Linked DNA regions of Arabidopsis thaliana. The protein of the gene in region 2 interacts with the protein of the main gene of each other region in a pairwise test. Each region holds a gene or a part of one and is shown on either strand. Other genes may lie near its edges.

Evidence for each region. The genes of interacting proteins can lie anywhere in the genome.
Region 1: the proteins of RKD2 (region 2) and AT2G16210 interact in a two-hybrid assay, tested with the Arabidopsis thaliana proteins (one large-scale study listed by BioGRID).

The regions. Positions count from the first base shown.
Region 1 is NC_003071.7:7,025,438-7,030,971, forward strand, and holds AT2G16210 (Transcriptional factor B3 family protein), read right to left. Parts: upstream 3,739-5,534; 5' UTR 3,557-3,738; coding exon 3,458-3,556; intron 2,509-3,457; coding exon 2,214-2,508; intron 2,132-2,213; coding exon 1,881-2,131; coding exon of another isoform or gene 1,872-1,880; exon of another isoform or gene 1,790-1,871; coding exon 1,559-1,789; 3' UTR 1,324-1,558; downstream 1-1,323. Other genes in the region: AT2G16220 (F-box and associated interaction domains-containing protein), read right to left, coding at 4,718-5,534.
Region 2 is NC_003070.9:27,992,532-27,997,459, forward strand, and holds RKD2 (RWP-RK domain-containing protein), read right to left. Parts: upstream 1,648-4,928; coding exon 1,577-1,647; intron 1,483-1,576; coding exon 1,355-1,482; intron 1,275-1,354; coding exon 904-1,274; exon of another isoform or gene 828-903; coding exon 501-827; downstream 1-500. Other genes in the region: AT1G74470 (Pyridine nucleotide-disulfide oxidoreductase family protein), read left to right, coding at 10-314; AT1G74490 (Protein kinase superfamily protein), read right to left, coding at 2,229-2,620, 2,720-2,980, 3,059-3,194, 3,287-3,609, 3,878-3,965. UniProt on the Arabidopsis thaliana protein: Putative transcription factor.

The DNA of each region.
Region 1 (5,534 bases), on a different chromosome or scaffold from region 2:
TCAAGAGACCCATTGTTACAGAGAACCAAAAGTTTCAACCTTTCAAAAAATGATAGAACTGAAGGAATGTTTCCTTCAATTACAGTGAAAAATCAGTGAACATTTTTACAAATACAAATCCCATTAAGTATTTGAGTCCAAAGTGTCATCATGAAATAAATTAGTCCCATCACACACAAATGACAAACAGTACAAGATGTTGAAAAAGAACAAAGGACCATTCTCATCCAGAAGAAACAATGTTGAAAATGTTAAGCATAAATAATCAAGATTAAGACAGAGAACTAAAAGAAACTGCAAAACCTTGTTCTTGAGACCAAACAAAATGAAAGATACATGTATAAAGCTCGTTCAAGAGATAAAAAAAGAAACGCATAGGTAAGAGAACAAAATGACATGCCCTTTGCTTTCACCTGACTCCAATGATCGTCTCTATCCTTCTTCTCTCCTTGTCCCTTCTCAGTCTGATTCTGAATCTGAATCTGATTGATGATATTCTGGCTCCACCAATGGAGGATGGACTGACTTGAGCTGTTCTAAATCGTTAACATTATGATTCTCCCCGTGGTTTACAAAGGTGCAAACGCTACAAGGTTTCGTAACTGCTTCACCAAAACCTTGTATTTCAACACGTTAGAGAGTGTTCCTTCCGAAGTTGAAGCAATACAATTTACACGCAGAATATCATCAATCAGATTCAGATTCAGAATCAGACTGAGAATAAGAGGCGCGGATTAGCCGTGGACCTGGTCCGGCACAACTCCTTGAAATATGGAGTACCAAACATTGATGCCCATCGCTTTGACACGCAACAAAACCTCACGACCGACTCTGCTGGCAATCTCGACAATATCTCCATGATGAGATCATTCGTTAAGGAATATGAATTCATGATTTCAGATCGAACGAAGAAGGAGATTTGTTAAAATTTACATATTAATGTAAGACCTAGAGAAACCTAGCTTATATACTACTAAAGAGACCTAGCTTTCGTGAATTTATTTATCCGATTTTAGTCGGTTAAGAAACACAAAAATGGGCTGATTTAACGTCTAAGTGGGCCTCCAAGCTTGTCTTCTTCAGGATATTCATACCAAGGAGATAAAAATGGACGTGGTAGACTAATTAAGATGATGTTCAAACAGGTCACGCACATTGCAACAGAACGAACAGAACATCAATTGTTGTTGTTGGCTTATCGGTTTAGGTCATCCTTCTCAGACGTGGATTGTGTCTTCGTTTCTTCAGAATCCATACTTAATTTTAGAGGCCAAGAAATAAAGATTCAAACTGAAGTTTTCCAGATATGCATGACCAGCCAAATTGACAATAAAAGGTTACCATTGAGTTGATAATTTGATTCTAGGGTCATTCAATTCATACATATAACGATTTTGATAAATTGGTCTCAAAATATTAAGCTACAGAGCTACATCCGATAAACAAGAAGCAAAGTTCATATGCAAAAACCAAACTAAAGTCATTACATAAAACTTAAGACAATAAAGTTCTTTTACGTAGTAACTTCTTCTCCAAGACACCCTCACATCCATCCTCATTAGGGTTTGGAGACAACTAGAAGTAGCTCCTTTGGTTTGATGAATGTGAATTTGCAGGTATCACCAACAGCAAGGGGATACTCTTTAACCACACGACGCCATCCACCAGAGAAAGCTCCAAACCTCTCCAGATAAACCACATTCCATGATTTCTTCCCATTTGGGTGATGGATCTTGAATACTGTTTTCTCATCCGGCACTTGATCCTTCGATACAGAATTCGGGATCCTCTAAACACTCAAACAAAAGATTCATTCACATACCAATTTTTAGCTCAATACAGAGATTTTGTTTAGAGTGTCTTGGTTTGTGTTATCTTACCAGGAATACGAGATATCCTTGCTTGAACAAGATGGTGAATGCTGCAGCAGTAGATGAAGAGGCACCAGCGTAATCACTTCGGGCTCTAACCACTTTCTCGGTCCTTTTAGAACTTTGGGATTCCTTAGCTGCCCTCTTCCCAAGGTTGAGCTTTCTTCCTTTAGATTCAGCTGCAGTTGTCTGGCCACGGTTAGAAGATACCACTACCTCTTCCTTAATGTCATTTTCCTCTTGTTCTGTTTTGATACGACCTGTTGCATCAACAAAAACTAAAGACTCAATGACTTTATCCAGTTTCACTGTTTCATAATCAGAAAAACAAATCTTACTTACTTGAAGAAGCAAAGAAGGATCTGGATTGTGGAGGTTGCATCATCTCTTTCCCGTCTAGCTTAAAGATGTTCACGGTAAAGTGCATTTTCCCTTTGTGAGTGAAGGTAAGTAACTCACTGTTTCCCAAAGCATTGTCCCTCACAAACTTCTCCCAGCCAGACTTCTCCATGAAGTAAAATCTAGGGTTTTTAGAGATTCCTACTTCCCAAGAGTTTCCCCATTGCGCTCTTATCTTCATCTTACGTGAGAGCTCTTTGTCGGTGAAGCTTCTCGAAAAGTCATGTGGAAGTGCTCTCTTTCATTATGCAAATAAAATGAAGAGACGATATAAGAAGACTAAAATTTCAATAAAGCAAGAATGGTTGATCTAAAGAACGTTTCTTCAACTACAGGGAATCAACAAGTATTTGGTCCACAGTTTCAAATTAACAGAGGACAAATCTCATTCAGAAGAAACAGAGGTGAAAAATAATTCATGACGACTCCTCACATCTAAACTGAGTAATGAGAGAAGCAGCAAAACAATGTTCTTGATATCAGATAAAGAGAATTGACGAAAAGAGTCAACCTTTAAACAAACAGCTAACAAGATTCAACGTTACAAAGGACCAAAAGTTTCAACATTTCCAAACTAAACTAACGAAGTGAACGTTCTTACACATCCCATCAAGTCTTAAGTACAAAGTTTCAAATCTCACCATGTAACAAATATAGTGTGACAAACACAACAAAATGTTTTGGCATAACATTCTTTTCCATTCTTCCATATGTGAGCCCAAAGTTTAATTAGTCCCATCACACGCAAATGACAAACCAAACAAGACAATGAAAAATAACAGAGGGCAGATCTCATCTAAAGGAAACAAAGATGCAAAATAATGCATGAATGCTCACATTCAGACAGAGAACTAAGTGAAGCAACTAAAACAGGAGAAAGACAATGAAAAATAACAGAGGACAGATCTCATCTAGAAGAAACAAAGATGCAAAATAAAGCATGAATCCTCACATTCAGACAGAAAAATACGAGTGTAGAATGAAGAAAGTTCGTTACATAGAGAAGATCTGTGAGTTTTTTTTCCTGATACCCATAAAGACAATTTACGAAAAGTTTCAACCTTTCCAAACTAAAATAACAAGTGTCAAAGTTTAAGACAAACCCCTGTTACAAAGAACCGAAAGTTTCAATCTTTCCAAACTAAGCCAACAAATTTAACAAGGAGAAGAGTTTAGAAGGTTGTTACCTTGTTTTCTGAAGAAACATTTATACTCTGAACAACCTTGAAGAAGCTTTCATTCTTGCGCTCTTCTTTGCACCGAAGATAACCAGCGTTCGTAGCCATCTCTCTAATTCAAGCTCACCCACAAAGCTTTTGCTCTCGTCTCTCTTTCACACTCTCTTCCTATATCTCTCTCCCTCTCTCTTTTGTAAGGACCAAACCTGTTGAAATCTCTACCAAATTTCAAAGGAAAAGATTCAGTCAAAGTGGTTAAAGTTAGAACTGAGAAATAAGTACAATGTGAGGTCATGTACTTTTTGTCACACATAACTCTTATATGTGTTTCTTTAATGTATAAATACAATGTTGGTATTGTCCAATTAAGACGAGGGAGGAGTTGTTATTAACTTATTATCCAATTAAAAATAAAATGTTCAGAAGATGTATTCTATTTATCTAATATATAATTTTAAAATCTTAAATAGATTATAATACTAGTCAATAATTAGCTCAGAAACAAAATCAGGTGGGACAATATTTGTGGACCAAAGTATAAAATTTGCATGATTCAACTGAGAGATGAGCATTTTTCTAGTCAGAGCAAAACTTTGGTTCTCAGTCTTAGTACTAGTCTCGTTGCATAAGTTGTTGAGAGAGTCCAAAACATTAATTGGCGCAGAAAATCAAAACAACAGAGTACTGAACAACGTCCAAGGAGGATGGAGGATGGACTGGCTTGAGTTGTTTTAAACCGTTAAACATTAAGATCCTCTACAAGGTTTCTTAAACGCTTTACAACCTTTGACGAGAATGTTCCATCTTTCAAAGACAGCTTACAAGACCCATTGTTACAGAGAACCAAAAGTTTCAAACTTTAAAAACAAAGCTAACAAGAAGTTGTATAGTTTAAGAACATGAAGACGACTTAGACTAAATAAAAGAACATTAAGGAACTTTTTCTTCAATTATAGTGAAAAAAACAGTGAATATTGTTACATATCCCATTAAGTATTTGACTCCAAAACGTCATCATGAAATCATTTCCATCACACACAAACGACAAACACTGAAAGATATTGAAAAAGAACAGAGGACAGATCTCATACAGAAGAACAATATTGATAATTTAAGCAAATATACTCAGATTAAGACAGAACTAAGAGAAACTGCAAAACCTTGTTCTTAAGTATAAATTTCGTTAAAGAGAGATAGATAAGGTTGATTTAAAAGTAAAATAAAAAAAGCCTAGTTAAGAGAACAAAATGAAATGCTCATTGCTTTCACCTAAATGATAATCTCTCTATCTTCTTCTGATTCTGAATCTGATTCATCATATTCTGGCTGCACCGATGGAGGATGGACTGACTTGAAATGTTTTAAATTGTAAACATTAAGATCCTCTACGTGATCTACAAAGGTGTAAACTGTACCAAATTTAGTAAACGCTTCAAAACCTTGGATTTCAACACGTCGGAGATTGTTCCTTTCGGGATTGAAGTAGTAAACATAAAACGGTTGTTCAGATGTATACTTGCGCATCGAAAACACTATTTCACCCGAAGCAGTCATTCCAACCACGGAAACCTGAGAACGGTATAATTTATCCTCGGTCCAAGTGTAGGCATATTTCGACCATTCCTTTTTCTCGACATCCTCTAGAACCCACACATGCATCTCATCAATGGCATCATCTTTCACATCATCATCATCCACATCATCCCAAAAAATTACAGCTAATTTGCCCTTATAGTTTATCAATTGACCACATTCTAAGCCAATAAAGGTGAAACTTTCGGATCTTAAATCAAAGCAAACTAACACATTACCAGACGTTACATCATGATCATTATCCCAATCTGACGTGTCACCTAAGTAATACAAAACACCATTGATGCATATCCCTTGACTGTAAATATCATGTAGTACACGATATTTTATCTTTTTCCAATTCATATCCCCATCTCCAAAAGTAAGAATTTTACTGTGACCAGGACCAGATGGATAGATCATGGACAATGCCTTGTACTGCTTGTCAATTGGGTCAAACCCGAAAAAGCTAAACGCCTTTCTATAAGTATAGCACTTAGGTAAGATCGTATAC
Region 2 (4,928 bases):
TTGCTATAGGTAAGAAGATGATTGACGAAGGGGACTTGAGGAAGTACTTGGAGAAATGGGATAAGACATACTTGCCTACCTACAGGGTACTTGATGTGTTGCAGAAAGTGTTTTACAGATCAAATCCGGCTAGAGAAGCGTTTGTGGAGATGTGTAATGATGAGTATGTTCAGAAGATGACATTCGATAGCTATCTGTACAAGCGGGTTGCGCCGGGTAGTCCTTTGGAGGATATCAAGTTGGCTGTGAACACCATTGGAAGTTTGGTTAGGGCTAATGCTCTAAGGAGAGAGATTGAGAAGCTTAGTGTTTAAGAAACAAATAATGAGGTCTATCTCCTTTCTTCATCTCTATCTCTCTTTTTTTGTCTGTTAGTAATCTATCTACACTAATGTTGTTACTCTTCAATGTATTCAGTATCATATTTATGTTTTCTGTTCATTGAATTAGTCAAAAAGCATTTGGCTTTACAATCCCCAATTTCTCACTAAAAACAGATTTCACAAACCACTAGTAAATTCACTTGAGAAACCACACAAGAGATACTTCATTTCTTCATCACTCTCCATTCCTGCTTCATCAACCGACTCATCACTAGGAACTGATCCGCTGCTTGAACACGAGGGTACTTGAGACTGATCGGACTTGAGACTTCTCTTCTTCTTCCTCTTGTGGTTAGCCTTGAAACAAGCTTGTCTTAGCCTCTTTGTCTTGTCCTTAAACTCCAAATCCGGCAAATCCTCAATTGTCCTCTTCTCCTTCTCAAGCATCTCCAACGCGTCCTGCAGTTTTTCTGCATTCTCTTCGCCTTCCATCTTCTGCAGCTCCTATTCATATGATAAAACATTTGAGTTCAATTATCTGAAAACAATAATATTAAGTGTAGTGCCTTGTTCTACATACCTTGACGTTACTGATCAAAGTGTTTAAGCTCATAAGTTTACGATGAGGCCATCGGCGAATACCCAATTCGCGACATCTCCTTTTTAGTAGAGTTAAACCAACGTTAAGTGCTATTGCAGCCTGAGTTATGGGCATGTAGAAGTAGCGAGAGACAGTTTCCTTTGACAATGTCGTTGGAGCTGAACTAGTTGTGTAGGTAGTAATATCGCTGATGATTCTCACGCTATGTTCTCTGTGTCTCTCATTGATTTTCCTCTTCTTAGTTGTCTCTTTCACTGTTCCATTTTCCCTCTTCTTCTCCGATGAAGCGCCATCTCCTCTGTTTTGCTCTGTTTCGTTCCATGACGCAGAGCTGTATGAATTGAGTACATCTACAGAACAAACAAGACCATGAGACCTCTATGTATATAGCTCTATATGAATATAAAAACTATGTAATAATATGTTATACCTTCAGACAAGGGTTCAAGATCAGGTAAAGGCAGAGAAGTTGTAGTAAAAGGAAATGCTTGAGAGCCAGAGTTTTCTTGGAGAGCAAGAAGATCTTCTTCCCAGTCGAATAAAGGATAACTTAAGGAGCTGCATTGCGTTTGGAAAAATACAGAGAAAATAAATTATAAGAAAACAAAAACTAATAACAAAATGAAACTATACAAAAGCTTCTGAAATTAACCTGTGATCAAAGGATGGAGAATGAGCTAGGAATGAGAATGACTTCTGTTCTTTGGTTGTGTGATCAGCCATTGTAAAGAAAGTGAGAGAGATAGAAGTTGTGTTGTGAAACTCGATGATGCGAGAAAAGATTTATATACTACATTCAGAGAAGAGACTAGTGGTAGTAAGATATGGAGAGAGAATAAAGAATGGAAGTGATGATGAATCTATTAGGAGAAGTGGGGTATTGAGTATTGACGGCTAATTGATTGTCGTGTTAAATTTGGAGTTACGAGAAGATATGATTAATGTTAATTAGTGGGTAATTTATAGGGGCGTTTAGATTTGGATTAGACTCCTCTTTTCGTCTCTCCATGCATATATGACATGCAATCATTTCGAGTAAATAGTGTAGTACTACTCAATGTACATGTTCTTATATATACGCATACATACACATCACAATGATCATGATTATGTATTGTTTAATAACCACTAACTGAATGATTAAGATAACAAAATGAAACGTATGGTTAAAACATTATTGTAGATCATGGCCATATATCTTTAATTTCCATTTCTCATAATTAATCATAAGTTATTAATGAAGTAACAAAAAAGTTTTATATTCCATTTCCACAAAAGAACGATCCAAAAAGCCAAAGATTTTTTTAGTCCTTAGGATGTCTGAGAAACCGTTTTGAAGGCATAGAAGCAGAGTTAGTACAAGCAAAACCTTTGCTTCTACTCTTTCTATGTCTTGGAATTGGAACTTTCTCAAGAAGAGATACGACCTCAAGCATCGATGGTCTAACCTTAACATCTCCGATACATTGTAAAGCCAAGAAAGACATCATAAACGCTGCTTTCTGAGGGTATTGACCCACAAGCTTTGTGTCCATTATCCTAAACACTTTTCGCTTGTCTCGCAAGTAAGGTGTTGCCCAATCCACTAGGTTTTCTTCTTCCCGTGATTTGGATTTGTCTATGACTCGACGCCCAGAGAGAATCTCTAGCAACACTACACCGAAGCTGTAGACATCACATTTCGTTGTTAGATGACCTGACAGAGAACAAAAAAAGGCAATGCTTTTAGAAATTTTCATGTTATGTTCTTTATTGAAATGGAATCAAATGAGCAAATAAATAAATAAAGAGAAACCTGTTGCTAGATACTCTGGAGCTGCGTAACCTTCTGTACCCATGACTTCTGTTGTCACATGTGAACGGTTATCTTTTGGACCTTCTTTGGCCAATCCAAAGTCTGAGAGTTTGGCGTTGAATCCTGAATCGAGAAGGATATTTGCTGCTTTGAAGTCTCTGTAAATGACTTGGTCATTAGCTTCATGCAAAAAACATAGCCCTCGAGCAGCACCAATCGCGACTTTCATACGCAGTGACCAAGAAAGCACACTGGAACTCCCTAGAATAAGCAGAATCCAGATCATTGAAGGAAAAAACTCAAAAAGTTTTAGATTTAAGAAAGAGTTTCTTTACTTACTTTCAAACAAATGATTCTCAAGACTACCATTAGGCAAATGCTCGTAAACCAAAAGGCGGTGTTCGTTTTCCAAGGAGTAACCAATCAGTTTCACTAGATTCGGATGATGCAATCTTCCAAGATAATTCACTTCCCTCTTTGGAGAAAACCATATACAAGTAGTAGAGATTTCAATAGAGTACAGTCTCAAGGTGAAATCATAATAAAATGATTTGAAAAGAAGCTTACCAGCCACTCCTTATGTCCCTGAAGCCCTTCGGTTTTAAGCTTCTTTACAGCAACCGCGAGTTCGATTCCAGGTCCACCATTAATACAGCCTTTGTGAACAAACCCGAACCCTCCTTCTCCAATTAGACTCTCTGGACAGAAGTTTCCTGTAGCATTCTTTAGCTCATCTAAGGTAAAGGACTTCAAATATTGAGAATGCATTATGTCTCCTTCTTTGTGCGGTGGAGGTAGAGCACTGATAGCTTCACATTTTCTTGTAATGAGAGGTTTTAAACTCCATGGATATGACAGATTCGAGCTTCTTCCAGTATCACTATTAGCTCCTGGATAAGAAACAGAGCCACACATTCTTACATCAAAATGAGAATTAAATGGATAAACAGAACTATCAACAACAAAGTCACTAAAGTTAAGAACAGGGCAATCGAATAACCAGACTACATAAAAGATTCATCCATCAATGCATTAACATTCAGAGGGTCCAGGAAAATGTGCAAAAGGACAAGTTATGTTCAACAATTCCAGTAAGAATTTAGTTAGACTCTTCCAGAAACAGAGAGATATGAATATCAAAGAATGAGAAGAGCTTACGTGAAAAGGGTTTCGAGTTCACTGAGGAGTCAAGATTATCGTCCTCATTATCATTTCTCTTCGAACAAGATTCAAAGCAATTCCCCATTTAATCCTATACAAAGATGTAATCATCCAAAAACCAAAACCCTAGATACAATTAATGGAAGAAATAAAACAGAGTATTAAAATGGCTATGGATTGATCTTCCACACCGGCTCTGTCATCGACATTCTTCCTCTGGTGAAAAGGAAGAACGTGGAAACGAGAGTGGTGAAAAGAGTCAAAATGTATTTGGATTTGAAAGCGATGCAGAGGTTTGGAAGAGAGATTAGAGAGAAAGGGGTTGGAATTGTAAAAATTTGGAAAAACTATAATTAGAGAGAACTTGGAGAAAAGAGTTTCCGTGTTGTATTAACTTCCTGTCAGAGAGAGTCACCCTATTAATTACCAATTGACTTATTTACGTCACGTGAAACTCTCGTGTCCCCCACACTCTTCCCATTAATTTTCTTTTTTATTTTTTGGTTATAAATTTACTAGCTGACTTTTTTATAGAATAATTTTTATTACATTTTATTTTGTTATTTCTTATTGATTTCTTAATAATTTTAAATGATCATATTGTTTATGATAAATGAATAAATGATTATAGCTAAGATGAATCTAAATCAATAGAGAACAATCGGTTACCATTTAACATACACGATTATAGTGGACATGATCTTTAATATATGAGAGTTATCTTGGAACTCTGAGAAAATGACTATGAATTTGTAGTGAAAATTAGATTTTTTTATGTTAACGTCAAAGTCCCATATAGATATTATTATCTCATATGTAGTTATTTGTTTCATTTCTTGAATATGACAAGAAATCCATTGTGGATAAAGATATGAAGAGATAGTAGTTTGTCCTAATATCGTTATTGTATTCCTATCCGGATTTAAATCATAATGCGTGTTGTTACAAAAAATATTCATTGAAGATTCACATATAAAAATGTAAGTGTTTAGGCTCGGTGCTCTATTTCAATCATCATTGACGAACCCATTAGTTCTGGTTGGGTTTG